Linked DNA regions of Drosophila melanogaster. The protein of the gene in region 2 interacts with the protein of the main gene of each other region in a pairwise test. Each region holds a gene or a part of one and is shown on either strand. Other genes may lie near its edges.

The links. Proteins that work in one complex are often made in the same cells at the same time.
Region 1: the proteins of CG15080 (region 2) and garz interact in a two-hybrid assay, tested with the Drosophila melanogaster proteins (one large-scale study listed by BioGRID).
Region 3: the proteins of CG15080 (region 2) and RnrS interact in a two-hybrid assay, tested with the Drosophila melanogaster proteins (one large-scale study listed by BioGRID).

What each region holds. Positions count from the first base shown.
Region 1 is NT_033778.4:12,324,257-12,330,284, reverse strand, and holds the start of garz (gartenzwerg), read right to left. Parts: upstream 3,926-6,028; 5' UTR 3,612-3,925; coding exon 3,510-3,611; intron 3,447-3,509; coding exon 3,248-3,446; intron 3,193-3,247; coding exon 2,207-3,192; intron 2,146-2,206; coding exon 1,165-2,145; intron 1,095-1,164; coding exon 886-1,094; intron 822-885; coding exon 595-821; intron 536-594; coding exon 1-535. Other genes in the region: CG8841 (uncharacterized protein), read left to right, coding at 4,385-5,627, 5,698-6,028.
Region 2 is NT_033778.4:18,781,098-18,787,044, reverse strand, and holds the start of CG15080 (uncharacterized protein), read right to left. Parts: upstream 3,747-5,947; 5' UTR 3,367-3,746; intron 1-3,366.
Region 3 is NT_033778.4:11,981,720-11,987,559, forward strand, and holds RnrS (ribonucleoside diphosphate reductase small subunit), read right to left. Parts: upstream 3,675-5,840; 5' UTR 3,548-3,674; coding exon 3,497-3,547; intron 3,349-3,496; coding exon 3,100-3,348; intron 2,592-3,099; coding exon 1,710-2,591; 3' UTR 1,426-1,709; downstream 1-1,425. Other genes in the region: GalT1 (beta1,3-galactosyltransferase 1), read right to left, coding at 1-652, 717-1,005; CG34231 (uncharacterized protein), read left to right, coding at 4,352-4,444, 4,544-4,688, 4,742-4,995; rho-7 (rhomboid-7), read right to left, coding at 5,153-5,243, 5,308-5,507, 5,562-5,782. UniProt on the Drosophila melanogaster protein: Provides the precursors necessary for DNA synthesis. Catalyzes the biosynthesis of deoxyribonucleotides from the corresponding ribonucleotides.

The DNA.
Region 1 (6,028 bases), 6.5 Mb from region 2:
GACTCTAGTTGCACAAACTTTGATTCCTGCAGCATTTGATCCAGCTGGCACTCCTTAATGCACTTCCGTCCCAGTTTGATGAAGTCCTGCTCCTCGTACGTTGGTTCTCGCTGACCCTCCGAGCTGATAAATGAGTACAGGCTGGAAAATAGTCCCGATTCCTGCTTCTCGCGGGGCTTTTCCAGGATTAACATGGCCTTTCCGTTCGCCTCACAAAAGTCTTCCACTTCGATCAATGATTTTGGCAGCAACTTTAGACGGAAAAGCTGCAGATATAGGTCCAAAATGTGTTTCCAGCTCTCTCTTAAGCAATCGCCGTAGTCGTGAACCAATAGAAACACCGTTCGCATGGCAGCCTGAGCCTTTCCGTTCAATCCAAAGTTCACAGCTTGCTGGGTTTCATTGTTCGCCGGAGCGGGCTCATGCTGTTCTACGCTGCTCAGCAGCGTTGTGAATTTGCAGAGAGTTAAAACGAGGGCATCGAAGTCCGAATGCAGATTATAGTGCGCCGATATGGCAGCGGATTTGCTGAAACCTGAAATGTAATCGTAATGTGAGATGTGAATGGTAATTATTAGATGTTTATGTACGTACCTGCTAGAGTTCTTTGGTAGCCCGTTTCAGTGCTTTTATCAAACATAAAGCTTAGGGCGCTCAGAGAAGCACCCCACACAATATTGAAGATCTCCACGTCGTATGATGCGTCATGCACATAGTGAAAATGTCCATCGTGCGTGTCTCCTCGTCGAAGCAGTACTTTCCATTGATAATTTTCACGCACCAGACCCGTTTGCTCTGCTGGCATAACGATCTCTTCGTTCCTTAAATAATTAATAATCGGAAATATAAGCAAATGAGAGTGACGCTATATGTACTAAAGCTTACTTGATTGCATTAAAGACTTGAGCCAGCATTTCTTGATCGAAATCTTCGCCACCGTTTAGACCACGCAAATTCTTAGTGAAGTCCTCGAGCGTCATTGGAACATTTAAACGCTTCGCGTTCGAGTTGTGCTGATCCATGTTCAGCATGATGATGGCATAGGCCAAGCGAAAAGCAGCGTCTACGTTGGCAAACGGATCTTGGTTTTGTTTCTATATTGGTGGGATACATACATGATTAATATCAGAGACTGCAAGTATTTTAGTAGATGTGTATACTCACATGCCAATGATCAGAAAAGTGTTCCAGCACCAAAAAGATCAATGGAGCCTCTCCGGGCAATCTGAAGGTCTCCAGATAAAGACGCAATGCTTGATCCACTCGAAGACCAGTGAAATCAAACGAGTCCACAAAATTAATTAGAATCTTAGAGTCGACGTTTTTCTTTTTCGAGATATATTCGCCAATCATTTTTTTATCGAGCCCGGGATTTTCTCGAAGGAACAGGGCCACCTGCATGGGATCAAGCTCGGCATTTAGGATGCCGTGTTCTTGCAGATACTGGATTCCTTTCTCTGGACGCTGATTAAATCGCTCTGTGCCTTGGGATAGCAGACGCTTCTTCTGTTTGACCTTGGCCAGCTGTTCACTGGTTATTCCCACTCCCTCTCCGCCAGATTGTAGTCGTAGTCGATGTGAGCTCGCATTTATAAAGCTTGCGATGTTCTCCACTTTCTCTTCTGCAGCTACACTATTGCCAGAATCAATTACGATTCCCTCCAATCCGCTGTTGTGGCGAGAATGGCGGCTGCCACCTGTTGCTGGGGCAGCTTCTGGCAAGGACTCTCTGTTGTTGCTGCTATTCTTGCTCGCGGCACAATTTCGCTCGATACTGTCTATCACACTTAACAGGGTGTCCATTGAGATAATGTGGGTGCTATAAACTGCATTCGTTGCTGACAGCGTATACTTGCTCAGTAGGTTTGTCAAACTTTCAAACATATCCGTGCAGTACAAGTCACAATCGTAGTTGATATACAATTCCGTGACGAAGCCGGGAATGCGCCACAACTGCAGTAGATTGTCCAGAGCGAGTTCTCGCATTTCGTAGGGCGTCTTGGGATTATCGCTAGCAATAATCTCGCTCAATTTTCTAAGGTAGGCTTCCAGCTGAAACTTGAGATGTCCGCGGAGAGACTCGAAAAGCAAAAAACAGAGCTGCAAATCGGCGGCAAAGATGCTAAGCCGCTCTGAGCTGAGAAGCTGTAGGGAAAGGAAAGAGTTAGGTCAGAAATAACTAACGAAGCAATTAAGAGTCCCTTACCGATATTAAGTTTCTGCATAAGTCGTCCTTAACCAGCTCCAGCAAGCCCTCATACTTTCCAATATTATCGGCTGCGACTTCAAAAGCTACAGTAAGTAGACTAAGACCCGTGTGCATCATGCTATCCGAGTTCTGCTTATCCAGAGGATTGCAGAGGATTATGAGGAATCGGAACAACTCCTGGATGAAGGGCAGGCCATAAGGGGATAGTGATGTTACATCGTGATCGGTGGACTGCTGTGTAAAACGGACGCCCACCGAGTTGATGTACTCGCTACTATTTGCCTCGGCCAGGGTGCTGGTTGCTTCACCCGTTTCGCCGTCCAGCAAGGGCTCCGATTCAGTCGACTCCACTTGAATAACAGGAGTCTCCGGGACAGTGGTTTCATCTTCCCCCGTGCTCGCCGTTGTTGTTGGTGTCTGCGTAATCTTGCCCTGCATGTCCAATATGTTTCCCGCTGGACTGGCGGGTGTGGTGGCCAATATGGGTGCCTTCAAGTGCCCTGGCACCGTCAGGTTGGCAGACTGCGGTGTTTGAGGCGGTTCCTCCACTGCTGACGATTTCCTGGGTGCTGTCTGGGCTTGGGCAACCGTCTTACGCTTTAGTTTTTCTTGGGTAGCTCCGCTGGCAGCATCGCCGATAGTAAATCGCTTCTGGAGCATGGTGTCACTTCGCTCTTCGGCGAACTGGGGAAGGCGCATGAAGAAGAGCAGCACCATGTCCTTGAGCGATTTTTCCGCCGAGCGACGAAGCAGTTCACTCAGCCTCGGCTCGAAGGAGATCTTGAAGCAGCTGAGCATCACCTCGCACATGGACACATTGCTGACGGCGGCTCCTTCGGGACTGCGGATAAGCGTGTGCAGCACCTCAATCACTCGCATAAAGGTGACACCATCCGAGGACTGATCGGTGCCCATAAAGCGGGCATGTGTCACAGCATCGGCAATGCGCTCCACAATGTCAGCCAGATTTGGAGACGTGGGATCTGTGGATAGGTACAGAATGAGCAAATGCAGAGGGTAAGCACTAAATCATAATACCTATTAGCCCGTAAGACAATAATTTGTTAACCGAGGCCAAGGCTAGACTAGTCAACGGACCCGTGGCGTCCGCCGTGCGAATCACCTCAAGAAACGGAGCCAGGAAGACCTGAGGCTCGATCTGACGCAGGTCCTCGATCCGATTTAGCTCATGCTTGAGGTCAATGAACAGCTTCAGCAGCGAGTCATTCTCGTCGTCCTGTGGATGTGCAAAAGGGCCATATACTTTCTATTCGCAGTGAGCATTAGGGGCACTATTTACCACGTAGGCGGTGGCATTCCAACGCGTTCCACGTCGCATCGCCGTCATCAGGGTGGCCATTTCGCCCCGCACCACGTAGATGCCGTTGCCTGGAAGCGCCATGGTGTCCGCGTGTCCTCCGTTGCGGTGTCTCTACGACTGCAGCTAGTTGGCTTCCAGTTCCAGGGCTAGCGCTGAAAATTGCAGTTTTCGTGGGGCAGGGCAGCTCCTCCTCCCTTCCCGACGACCTTCGCATATGTTTTGGCACTCGCCACTTGCCCACTCGCACACTCACGCTGCCTGGACGAATCTGGGCGTGCTGCCTAGTTGGGCATCTCTCACTAATCCTAACTAATCGAACTGGTAAGCTGCTAATTTTTGGTGACGTTTACGTGTCGTTTATGTTCTTGTGTGCAGTCCGAATATTTTGCACAAGCGTCTTCCAACACCGGCGCGGCAGTTCGTCGCTTCGCAGCACTGGCACAGCTGTAGATGCCAACTCGATGCGGAAATTTCAATAGATTAAATTGAAATACAGCTGCAAGCGTATATAAAAAAAATATAACCTTGTTTTTAAAATAAAATATGTTGCCAAGCTGTCGATCAAATTGATTTAATCAAATTGATATTTGAATATGAGGGCCAAAACAGGTGAGCATAATCAGTCACGCACGCATCTTCAGTCGTGAGCGTTACACCCACCACTAAGTTACACTGGCATTTGGTGCGTAGGCGAATTTCTAATTGGAATCGTTCGATTTTTGAAAAAGAATCGCATTAAATGCAAAGCATTCCTGTTCCAGACTACTGCGCACACTTGCACTGAGGCGATCGAGCACGGGGCAGGTGGATTTACAGGACTCAGCGATACCAAAGCAGCCCACAGGCCGAACAATATGGGAAACACGGACTCCAAGTTGAACTTTCGCAAGGCGATTGTGCAGCTGACGCAGAAGAACCAGAAGATCGACCCCAGCGACGAGCAGTTCTGGGAGCAGTTCTGGCAGGGCCACCAGACGACGCTGGAGGATGTGTTCGCGCTGGTCACCTCGAGCGAGATTCGCCAGATACGGAACGAGAATCCAGCCAACCTGGCCACCTTATGCTACAAGGCGGTGGAAAAGCTTGCCCAGGCGGTAGACAGCAGTTGTCGCACGCAGGCGGAGCAGCAGTGCGTTTTGAACTGCGTGCGGCTGCTCGTCCGGTGTCTGCCGTACATTTTCGAGGACGAAAAGTGGCGCGACTTCTTCTGGAGCAGCCTGCCATCGCAGGACAAGACCATGCCGTTGGCTCAGTCACTGCTCAATGCCACCTGCGACCTTCTTTTCTGTCCCGACTTCACGGTTACGGCCACGCGGCGTGCGGGCCCCGAGAAGGCCGAGGAGTTGGCGAACATCGATAGCTGCGAGTACATTTGGGAAGCGGGCGTGGGTTTCGCCCAGTCACCGCCCCACAACGCCCACATGGAGCGCAGGCGCACGGAGTTGCTGAAGCTATTACTCACCTGCTTCTCGGAGCCCATGTACCGATCGCCGCAGCAGTCCGAGGAGCCCAACAAGTGGATAGCATATTTCACCTCGGCCGACAATCGCCATGCCCTGCCGCTGTTCACCTCGTTTCTGAACACCGTGTGCTCCTACGATCCGGTGGGCTTCGGCGTGCCCTACAATCACCTGCTGTTTGCAGACACCACAGAGCCCCTGGTGGAAGCGTGCCTTCAACTGCTCATTGTCACCTTGGATCACGATATGGTGGTGCAGCAGCAACTCACACAACCCGGACAGGCGTCCTACGACGAGGGCAATTGCGGCGACAACTTGTTCATTAACTATCTTTCGAGGGTTCACCGCGACGAGGACTTTCACTTTGTGCTCAAGGGCATAACCAGGCTGCTGAACAACCCACTGGTCCAGAACTATTTGCCCAATTCCACAAAGCGACTTCATTGCCACCAGGAGCTGCTTATTTTGTTTTGGAAAATATGCGACTACAACAAAAAGTTTCTGTATTTTGTGCTAAAGAGCTCCGATGTTCTGGACATCCTGATTCCCATTCTGTATCACCTAAACTACTCCCGAGCGGATCAATCTCGAGTGGGCTTGATGCATATTGGAGTATTCATACTGTTGCTCCTATCGGGTGAGTCATATGTCATATGTTTTGTTCGTGGAATCAGTGCACTTACACTTAAATAAATGTTTATTGATAGGTGAGCGAAACTTTGGGGTTCGGCTTAACAAAGCATACTCCGCCACGGTGCCCATGGATATACCTGTGTTTACTGGAACCCATGCGGACTTACTCATCACTGTGTTCCACAAAATAATAGCCACTGGCCACCAGAGGCTGCAGCCGCTTTTCGATTGTCTGCTGACCATTCTGGTAAATGTCTCACCATATCTGAAAACCCTCTCGATGGTGGCTAGTGTAAAGATGTTGCATCTCCTGGAGGCTTTTAGCACACCCTGGTTTCTGCTATCGGCACCCAGCAATCATCATTTGGTGTTTTTCCTGCTGGAGATCTTCAATAACATTATACA
Region 2 (5,947 bases):
CACCAGCAGGCAGACACGTTTGTATCTCGGTTTCTAGAGCTATCTATCTGGATTTAATTGCATCTGCAGGCTGCAGTGTCGGCCACGCTTAGTTGGCCAAACATAAAACGCAAAAAAACACACCTACTTTAAGGGGGATTTTTCTTCTATTTTTTTTTTTTTTTGGAAACGCCTGCGGATCTGCAGCTGGTTTACTAGAGCGCAAAAAACCAAGAATGTGCGTGACCCATGTGAATCACTATTGGCAAATCAATTGAAACTGTGCCAACTGTCCGCCAAAAAACTTGCACAACTCGCACATTAAATATTGACTGATTGTATCGCTCGGGTGCTGAAATCGCTGATCTTTCAGTTACAGTTATGGCCAATTAGCGTGACTGGCTAACGATAAGTCTAGGATTGATGGCCACCATATACTGCATGCATATTGTTTTTGCTGCTGGGCCGCCGAACGCATAAATTATGCAAAGCCAATGAACTCGTCGCCAAACAGAAAATGCAGAGAAATACAAATCCGAAACGAAAGCGACAATGAAATGCACTTTTCTGTCTGATGGCTGCTATTGCTAGGGGGCGTTGCTAGCCAGGCCTGCCGGAAAGAGCCACTCGATACCAGAAGGAAAACGGACGGAAAAACGCTGATTTCTTGTTCGACTAATTCCTCAAATTTTATGCCACAGCGACCTCGAAGAAATGTTTGAAATTATTAAACGAAATGTAAATTTCACGCAACGCAGAAAAATGAAAAAACAAAAACTTTCATTTCTCGCTGCTTTCCAAATGAGGTAAGTGGCTGTTTAGCTGGTGGAGGTGGCTTTTTGGTTTTGGTTTGGTATTGGCGGCACCTGCTCAGCAAACCAAAACATGCCGCAAGCATTTAGCTTGCGTAATCCCAAGAATTTATGCTCGAGCATTTGAAAGCGAAAGTATTTCTCCCTCGACATTTTGGTATGCGGGGGCGCTGTGGTTGCGCAACTCGTAATAAAAGCCGGATAACCGGATACAAGCGAAATTAGTGCCTTAAATATCACTTATCACCTGGGACATCGCAAATCGAATTGCGCAAATGATGGGCCAAGCTAATTACAAAACTATTGCCACAGTCGTCGTCGCCACTGAGCCGCAGAAAAGTGTCCCAAAACAATGTGACAATTGCAACAGAGCAATACTTAAGGTAGCTGCTAGTAGCTACTCTATATATATGAAAAACCATAAAGCAAGCGCTGACAAAACAAAGCAGCCGCCAAATGGAGCAGCTGAAGAAAGCAAGAGTGGCTCGGCAAATGTATAGCCACAAGTACCCGTACTTGTTGGCCACGTCTCGAGTGTGGGCCTCATTCTGGCCCAGACCAAACCAGACTTGTGCAACTCGGCAACTTGGCGAGGGTATCCACATAAACCGCCTGCCGCAGATAGATATATATACATATATACAGATATATATGTGCCCAGATGAACATTAGCAATCAATCCACATCCGTGACCAAGACACGGAGTGTGAGAAAAAATTCAGTAGGCCAAGATACTTCAACTTGTCGGTCTAGAAGGAAAACACAGAGACAAAACGGAGCAAAAAGCCCCAAATGGTTGCCTTGCTCTACCAGCCGGGTGCTGACTAATCAACTGTGTGGGTATTCCAGGGGTGCCGAAGGAGGATCAGGGGGTCTTACGGAGGCCGTACATGCAACTGCAAATCACGATTTAGTTCCAGCGAACCAGCAATAAATGCCCGGCCTGGAAGCCATTTGAATTGATTTTTTAGTTTTTACCTCCGCTTAAATGCACTTTGAATCTGATATTGCTGAATGCATTGCAATTACTCACATTTAGAATTCAGTGCGTGTCACTAGTGCGAGATAATTATGGTTTTGAAAGACCGCTGGGCATATTCGATATTGATCTTTGAAATTGAAATTCTCTTTGGTATGGCTAAATCATCTGGGATAATTTAAGTTGTAATATAAACAAAGGTATGGTTGCATTGATTTCTCAATTCGTGAGTAATCAACACCAAAACTTGTGCGCATTAGGATCTGCAACGCATTCCATCGAACAAAGCCAACTAATGAAGCAAGTTTGTGTCTTAAGTCTTTTGTTTGGCCCGCTGAGAAAGTCGTAATCCGGGCTCAACGCTTGACAAATTGAACATTATGCGGTTGAGTAATTGAAAGCCGTGAAAGACGAAGACCACACGGGTAGGATCGCTGGGCACGTGCTAAGTGACGAGTGATGGAAGCTTCTGCAGCTACGCAAAGTCATTCGCACGTTTCACTTTCATCGGAGGAAGGTGAGGGAGGGGTAGGAATATGAATTGGCGGCGGAGGAGGCTAGTGGCAAATAAACACATCAGGCGCCACATTAAGACATGACAATAAAGAAAAAGTGAGTCTGAGCAGTATTATATTTTCTTGACACTTTCGCGAGTTTTGTTTCGCCACTTCCCCCCTCACCACTCCGCTGCCAACCCATCCCTCTTTTATATCGGCTGGCATTGGCCGATGCGGCGGCTACGTGATTTCAGCCCGTTGCCAAAGGCTACGATATGGACTTTGCTGGACGTGCGACAGGCAATTGGCCGGCCGGCGGCCATCGCCTGCGTTTATTGTAATTAGAAAGTATTTAATTTCGAAAACGCTGTCCGCTCGCACATAAAAAAAAAAACAAAGTTCGCATAAATATAAATAAAGAAATACATATATAAAACGAATAAGACGCTACGGCGTAATTTATGATTTCCCTCTTCTGTTTGCCCTCATGTTAAAATGACAAACAAACGAATAAGTGTACACATTAGTTCCGTTAAAGATCAGATGCCACATCGAAGATTAGGGAAGAGAAATGTCTGGCCCTCGGAAGTGGGGTCTGTATGCAAATTGGCCTGATAAACAAGATTTTTCTTGTACGAAACATAAAATTTCTCCAGGTGAAAATTGGGTTAATGAAGTGGCAATGGAGATAGACTTAGAGATGTAGATGAAAAACCCAAAACGAACCCACAGAATACTGATGGACCAGTTTCTTTTCTTTTGGTCAGGGGTCTGGCCACCTTATCTTTTAACGAGGAAGTCTGCCCATAAAGCTTGACTCAACTTGACTCTCTAGAGGATGGACGGTTGTTTTGGTTAGATGTATGGTCCATAAGTCTTTGGGCAAACAAATTGCATGCCAGTTAACGAGTGTCGGTGGGCAAAAACAAAATGAAATTTCCAAATAATTAGAGCATGAAAAAATAAACAGCAAAATTGCCAAGACAGTCGAATGCGTTGAGTGTGTGGTTAGTTGAATGGAGAGCTGAAATTTCTATTCGCCTTTTTTGGCAAAAAAAAAAAAAAAATAAAATAAATAAAAAATAAAAACCCCACTTACCACTCTCCTCTATTGCTTCTTCTTCTTCTTCCTGAACGGCAGCTGTTGTTTCTCTTTCACTTGGCTTAATTTAATTAAGATCCTAACTTGCCCAACTCGCCAAATTAGCAGCAATTCAAGCGTTTTACTTTTATTTTTGTATATTAATTATATTTTCGATTTCTTGAAATTCACTTTGACTTTATCCACTTGAGACGTCAGGAAGCTCACGCACTTTCGGCAAAAGATGCAAAATCAAATGTCGTTGGTACCACTGTGCGTATACTCGATGCGTATGAGTGTTACACTTACAAATCAAGTTATTACTATCTTGCGTTAACAGTTAGCCGGAGCTGGTTTTTAGACGCGTCTGCATCGTTGGCGTGCCGTTAACAGACTGAAGAAATGAAAAGCGTCGCGGGCCAAAGTAAGTAAGAGTGGTTCGCTCGTGGTTTTCATCCAACTGCCTCCGTCGAAGTCGACGCTGGCCGAGCAGTTAGCAGATCAGTAGGCAGCGCAGTCGCAGTCAGCGTTAACGGCGCAACTAAAGCGGCTTTAACAGCTTTTGGGCCAACAAAAGACTTGGTCAAACAGAGCGGTATAGCTCCTAGCTAAAAATGATCCTCCAATGATTTGTTGTGGTTAATTGAAATTAACAAAACGGGGATGGGGATAGAGTTTTGCCAAGGGGGAGTGTCCACAAGAATGCACTAAATGCAAATCAAGTCGGCCATAAATGCTAACTTGTTTTAGCGTTAGTTGCGGCGATGCTGTTCCAGTTTTGCAATCTTTGCTGGCGACAAGTTTTTACCACATTTGCTGGGAAAATCGATCCGACTGTGTGGGGGTCTTATGAATCGTGCTACACCCCTCGCTGATATATGTGATATATGTGTATATGTGCGGCTATATGGCCAGACATAACAACAATTCCATAATTCTGACTCAGTGCCATGTGGCATTCGAGCCGTGCATCTAGCTTTTAATTGGCTTTTTAGGCTTTGCTCTGCAGCCAAGGTCGTTTTCTTGCTACACAAATTCCATTATGAGTTTAATTGAATTGTTTGTTTTGGTTTTTTTTTCTTCTCTCGTACGCGTTTCCTCGTATTTTTGTTTGTTTTGTTAGGAAACCTATAAACCGATTGACATTTAGCAATTAAAACGCGTAGAAACCATTTTTTCTTCGCTGGCCTTTGCCGCATTTCTTTTGTTACAAATTGGTTACAAACTTTATAAAACCTATAATAACAAAAAGTGCGAAATTGGGATTAAATATGTGGTTGAAATGTTTGCAATCAAGTAGCGCAGGTAGAAATAAATATTTAAATCTTTTTATAATATTTTCCAGATAATATTTTGGTGTTTAAAATACATTTTTGTGCTCAGCTTGTTGCCAAATATTTCTTTGGTCTGCTAGAATTGGCCTTAAAAAGAGGTCTTTTTCAACTTCTTTTGGGGCAATTAAAATATTCTCATGCCGGCAGCCGCACAATTTCCGTTAAGCAAACAATTGTCTAAGTGAGACGTTTATGGATCGTGGAAATCAAGTTAATTAGCATATCGTTCAGCGTCCGCCATTATCCATTATGCATTGGGTAACCCAAACGAGATGCTCGGACGCTTTTCAATCGCATTTTTTTTTCAATTTCAATTTTCCAGCGGCAATTGCGACGGGCGATGAGTGCATTGACAGGAGCAGCAACATCGTCGCCGCAAATCCAATCAGTCAACTTGTCATAACGCCTGCCCACCTGTCTGTCCGTGTGCCTCACCTGCCGCCTCAGGTGGGCGTGAGTTATGTGCGGACTGATGACGTACGAGGAAGGTTTCCACCTCATGGCCTAAGTTATGTGACGGGATCTCTTGGCGTTCGGAGATCATTCAACCGCGACTCGCGTCTTGAACTTCCGCTGAATGTTATTTAGTTGGCTTGCAACTCTGTTTCTAGAACAAAGCACTTTCACCTGCCTCGCAGATAGAGAATCAAATTCAATCGAATTCAATTGGCAGCCAATGGTTGGGGGACGGCAATTAGCGTTGACCTTTTCACAGGTGTCTCACTGAAATGGCTCACACGCCCAAGGTGGCGCTGCCAAATGGCAAAGGTAACAGATCGCGACCTTCAGGCCCCTGTTTATGAATGGCTTTTCCCAAGCTCTTTGCGCATTTTCCGCGACGTATGCGGAAAAGAGTAACGAGATTTGCATAAAATTCGACACGAATATTTCCCACACTCCGACATAAAATAGATCAACTTAATTGGACATGTTTTTATGGCATAATTCAGACCAATTAGACGTAGAATCTTTTGGGCCAGGTGCAGATAAACCGTCGCTTGTGATTCGCAACTGATGCTGATGCAACGCTGACAAGAAGACATAAATATCACTTATGCAATCGAAAGGAGAGAGCTGGATTGTCGATGCGTCGACGCATCGAGAGCCAAATGCATTTAGGCTCACGAAAGTAAGACAACTTTTTGCCGCTGCTCTGCCCCTCGGGTGATGCCCAAAATGCTGGCTATTTGGTGCTTTTGGCCATAAAACGCTTCCTGCTCCCGCTGCAATGCACTGCAGCAGTGCGCTGGTCAAAATGTGGTCGA
Region 3 (5,840 bases), 6.8 Mb from region 2:
GGTGCAGTGACTAAATAGGTGGACCGGTCGTGGTAATCTAGGGTATCATTGTACAACGGTATAGTTCCTCCGAGCAGAAAGTTCAGCAAATTGGGTATATTTACGAAGGTATCGTCGTCGCACTTGAGGAAGTAGACCGCGGTATTAAAGCAACTGCGGCTAATGTGCTTTAGAGCCATCACAGACTTAAGCGTCAGGTTGTTGTAGCTATCCACGAAGTTCTCCTGAATGATGTCGTTGTACTTTTCCGATTCAATGTGAATGCGATTCAGGGTCTCATTGCCCAACATGGCCTCATCTTTCTGGCGGCCTACAATGAAAACAATGCGCACTGAGGCAGTCAGAGACTGCCCCTCGCCGCTCAAATAATCCCCGTACATCTTTAAGCGATCCGGCAGTGGCGGCAGGTAGTGACCCTTGAGATGACCATGGAGCTTTCCAAACGCTGGGTAGTTGAACTCGGTGGTATTGCCCCAGGTCTCACGGATGGTATGTCGCTGAATGAAGTTGTCCACGCCGGTGCATACGGCGATTACCAGGAAGGTCTTATTCCGGCAAAAGTCCTTGGGAACAATGACGCCAGAACTGAGCCCGATATCCAGGTAGTCAGCTATGCTGCGGGAGGTCTCTGACGTCCAATCCGGCAGACCAGCTGTGAAAGCGTCAATGGATCATTTTTAAAATAAATGCGGGTATCAAGAAAACCATTGTCCTACCACTACGCTTGTGTACATCCAAGTAGACGAGCGGCAGGTAGACGAGGAGCAGCCCACAGATTAGGAAGGCGCTCAGCGTGTAGCAGCCAAGGCGTCTTAACATCCTGGGAAGCGGCATGCGATTTCTTAGCTGCCGCTTCCTCAGCTTTGCTTTGCTGCGTAGCGCTCCACTAGTGGTGACCGTCTCGTCCTCGGATCCGGAAGCAGCTGCTCCCGAGCTGGAGGAATATTCCGCTGCCAAGAGGGAGCTCTGCTCCTCGATTTTTTCTGGATTCCACCTTCTGTCCATGTGACTGGATTCACTTATCGCCACTGGTCCTCCGCCTACAATTTAATGCACTGTTCGCATTTTATCAACTATTAGGGCGCCTAGCTGAATTGGGTTGATTTAATCGCCCACTCCTGTTATTGACATCTAATACTTTTTATGGTAATAACTGAATAACAAGAATTTTATCCAAATTGATAAAAACAGCGAATGGGATTGTTCAGCACAGCTGATAGTAAAAATGCCCGTGACTATCGATAAGTTTACCTACCATATATATAACTGAAATCGAAAATTTGAAATTCGAATTATTTAAATTCTTAAATTTTCCCAATCCTTTTTATAAATTTTTTTGAAATTGATTTTCTTATTATATAATCGTGCATAAACAGTAATTTTTGAAGATTTTTTTCAGAATAATTAAAACTCAATTTTACTTGTAGTGCTTAATAATTGTCTATGTATAAATTTATTTAAAATGTTGTATGTACAATGAATTCGGAAAAGGTACGCTCCTCGTAAAAGTCAAGTGTGTAGATAGTATTATAAACGTAATTGGAGGTCCAAGTAAATGATTAGGTGAATGTGTTGAAGGTCTGTGATTGTTCTTAGCCTATGTTAAAATTAAAACGGACTACATATAATTGCCGTCAGATTAAAATATAAAGGATGAGAAGCCAGCCCTTGAGAGGTTTAAATTGCAACAATGATGTCCGGGGCCAGCCCTAGAAATCCGCGTCCAGGGTGAACACGTTGTCCAGGGGGTTGCTGACCACTCCCATGCGCTGGTACTCCCCCACCTTCTTCTCAAAAAAGTTGGTCTTTCCATCCAGCGATATCATCTCCATGAAGTTAAAGGGGTTTTTGGTGTTGTAGATCTTTCCAACGCCCAACTCCACGAGCAAACGGTCCGCTACGAACTCAATGTACTGGGACATCAGGTCGCAATTCATGCCAATCAAATTGACGGGCAGGGCATCGGTAAGGAACTCCTGCTCAATGGCCACCGCGTCGCGGATGATCTCGATGATGCGCTCGCGCTTGGGTCGCTGCACCAGGTGTTGGAACATCAGCACGGCAAAGTCGCAGTGCAAGCCCTCGTCGCGAGAGATAAGCTCGTTGGAGAAGGTCAATCCAGGCATCAGACCTCGCTTCTTAAGCCAGAAAATGGAAGCGAAGCTGCCGCTGAAGAAGATGCCCTCCACGGCGGCAAAGGCGATGATGCGTTCCCCGAAGTTGGCCGATTTGGAGGAGATCCAGGACAGGGCCCAGTCTGCCTTGCGCTTCACAGCCGGCATCGTTTCGATAGCGTTAAACAGGTACTCTCGCTGGTGTGGATCACGGATGTAAGTGTCGATCAAAACACTGTACATCTCCGAGTGCACGTTCTCCATGGCGATCTGAAAGCCGTAGAAGCAACGTGCCTCCGTGATCTGCACCTCCTGACTGAAGCGCTCCACCAGGTTCTCGTTTACGATGCCGTCGGAGGCGGCGAAGAAGGCAAGCACGTGCGAGATGAAATGGCGCTCGTCGTCCTTCAGGCGGTGCCAATCAGTAAGGTCCTTGGACAAATCCACCTCCTCGACAGTCCAGAAAGAAGCCTCAGCCTGCACATTAAAAAAAAAAGTTACAATTTTAAAAGAGATAATTACTGTATAAATTTATTATTTTTCATTTTCCACTTTAACAAGTTTTCAAGAAATGTCATCGTGCACAACGAGCTTATCAATTAAAATGCAATTAAAATGTAAACAAAGTTACTACAAAGCAATTAAAAGCGGCGGGGAAATGTAATTGGCTACATAAAATGGTATAGTATGTGATCGTTATGTGCTGCATTTCCCGCCAAAAACGAAGGCTATTGTTGACATTGAGTAAACCGTGATGCAGTGAATCAGCGGAAAGGGAGGGTCGAGAAATGTGGGAGGGGGTTGTTTAACCAAACGAAGCTATCATAAAGTCTGATTCGTGTAATCAACCACGTTGAGTACGTGACCGGCTTTTGGCGCGCTTTATCTCGAAATGCCCGCCCTTTTGATATTTTGCCGCCCAAAAAATAGATTTTCACCACCAATGCAAATGGACAGTGTTTTGCTATATGTATGGTATACACACCTTCTTGTACATCTGCCAGATGTCGTGGTACTGGATGGGAAAGATGACGAAGCGTCGGGGATTCTCGCGCAGAAGGGGCTCCAGCGACGGGTCGAAGGGGGTTACGGACTTCTCCATGAGGGAATTGGCAGACTTGCCGATGCCATTCACGGTGGAGGACTCCTTGGCCAACTGTCCGTTTGCCTCGTGTCCAATGGACATCTTGCGAACGTTGTTGGTGCTATCCGTCAGAATCTTCTTGCTCGGGCTCTGTTAACAACGAAAAACAAAGAAGGCCAACTAAAGCATGAGTATTTTTCCGCTGCGTAGCACTTTTCCCTAGGGAAATCAACACAAGCGCACTGATCGCGGTATTACGTCTATGTATAGCTGTGAACTTTATTTGCGTGTCGATTACCTTAAGCGAGAACTTCTCCATGTTGTCAGCAATGTTTTCCTTGGACGCCATTTGAGATGTTTTTGAATGGATTATTATTAGCAGGTAGGGGCGCTTCTCTGATTCTCTGGTAAAATTCACTTAAACCACGACGTGTATTAAGTGTACAGTTTGAAAGTTGTGTGGCAAATGATCTGGGAAATACAGCTACATTGGGTTTTATGCCGGGCGGCAAACTGTTTCGATTTGCCGCCATTTTTGGTGATGGGAAAACTATGGGAAAATCAGGGCTGTCGAGTGCGTCAATTCACTTTTTATAAATTTAGGGTAAATCTAATGCAATTATGGGGTGGTAGTTTTCTTTTCTTAAACCATAAATCGAATCCTTACTGCACAATTTTATGTTTAGCTTCCCAGCTTGTCACTTGAAAAATATTAATATTAATAGTTTCAAATACTAAATAAATTTTGAAATTTTTTTATCATCGATATTTCATGCAATGAGACAACCCTAGACTAATCCAGAAAACAGCTGATGAAACGCCACTTAATTAGTTTTGAGTGAAAAAATTTGGTCCTCTTGCTACAATTAGATAAAAAATCAAGGTGAAACAAAGTTAAAATTTTTTTCCAAGGACATTGACTTAAAATTAATTTTTTTTTTGGAAATCTCGAATTATTTGGAAATGCAACAGGTGCTAACATACTCAATTCAACAACTTTGAATGAATTCCATTACAGCGAATCATGTAAATAACAGTACAATAACATAACAGCTGGCTGTTGATATTTATCGATAAGTACGTTTAATCGTGGACTTGAAAATAATAATAAACAAATCCGTTTAGTTGTAGTTTTGTTTTTAATATCCTGAATATGGAAGCCTCTTCTTCTGAACACCACAAACGTCTGGAATACTGCACTACAAGATTGAAATACCGTCAGGGCCGCGAATTGAAAGCTGTCAAGGTGGGGAAATAGTAATGTTTAGTAGTAATAGTTTAGTAATAGCTTTATAGTAATAGCAATGTTTTATTGTACTTTTATTGTGTTTTTTATCCTTTGTAGGTTTATACAGTTGCTAGTGAGTCCCGTCATTTGCTGATCTTTGGGGTACCTAAAATAAATCTTCAAGCTAATCTCAGGACGAAACTACAAGGATTTGGTAAAGTGCAATCATGTATTTCGGTAACTTCAGAGATGGCTTCAAAAAGTATGATTATCCCTGTTCAAGATCTTTTTTATATAGTGTTCCTTTTGTTTCAGTGGATCTGGAAGCTTTTACAGATGTGTTTGCCGTGAAGTTCGAGCGCCTTGAGGTGGCGAGAAGAGCCAAGAAAATGCTCGATGCTCATCAGTTCTATGGTGGAATCTTGCACATATCATACGCTCCAGAACGAGAATCCCTTGAGGAACTTAGGGAGAAGATTCAGCAGCGCAGGCACGAAGTAGCTTTTCGTATTCGAAGAAATCAGAAGGATCAAACACAAGTTCCAAAAAAGAGCCGGGAAACCACATGAGTACAGGATGTCAACGATTTATTCAACTTAACTGATTTCAATGAACTTCTAAGGCAGAACGATGTCACTCTTATTGACACAGCGTAGTGCTACTCGCTACCGCTCTATTGCCTCAGCTCCCCGTCCGTTCACTTGGCGAATCCCCAAGCCTCCTGTACTATTTCTGCTTCGTCCGGCGCAGGTCATGGTAGTAATTCAGTAGACCAATGCGCTTTGCCCATATCTGTGCCCCATACGTGGCCCAAAAGCTGTAAATTACCGTAGGATTAATAAGACAACCTGTGATGGTATAAACATACACGCCAAACTTACATGCCAAACATGGCGCCGCCCAAATGCGCTGCGTGATCGAAGAACTTCCAGCCCATCACGACGCCAGCAAAGTCGATGCCCATTAGCACTTTAATACCAGCTCCAGCGGAGAATGTCAACGCGGGTAGAAAGAGAATGCTAAGTTGTGTGTCCGGATACTGGGTGCATACATAGGCCAGCAGTGTCATTATAGCTCCAGACTAAGGGAAGAGCTTTAAGTTTATAGATACTACGTGGAATAAAGGCTGTCTTACCGCACCCAGGGACATCCCCGCCTGACTCGTGGCCGCCTTGTAGAGCACGCTCATCAGACTGGAGAAGACGCCGGCGCTGAGGTAGACCGCTAAGAATTGCTCTTTACCCAACGATACAGCCGCAGCGTTGGCAAAGCTGTGCATCACGTACATATTGGCGAAAAGGTGCATAGCCGAGTAATGGCTGAATGTGGACAGGAACATGGGCCAGCAGACGACTTCTGCGAGAAGGGTATCAAACACAATTAGTTAGGGGGGTTGTAAAAAACAAATATCATA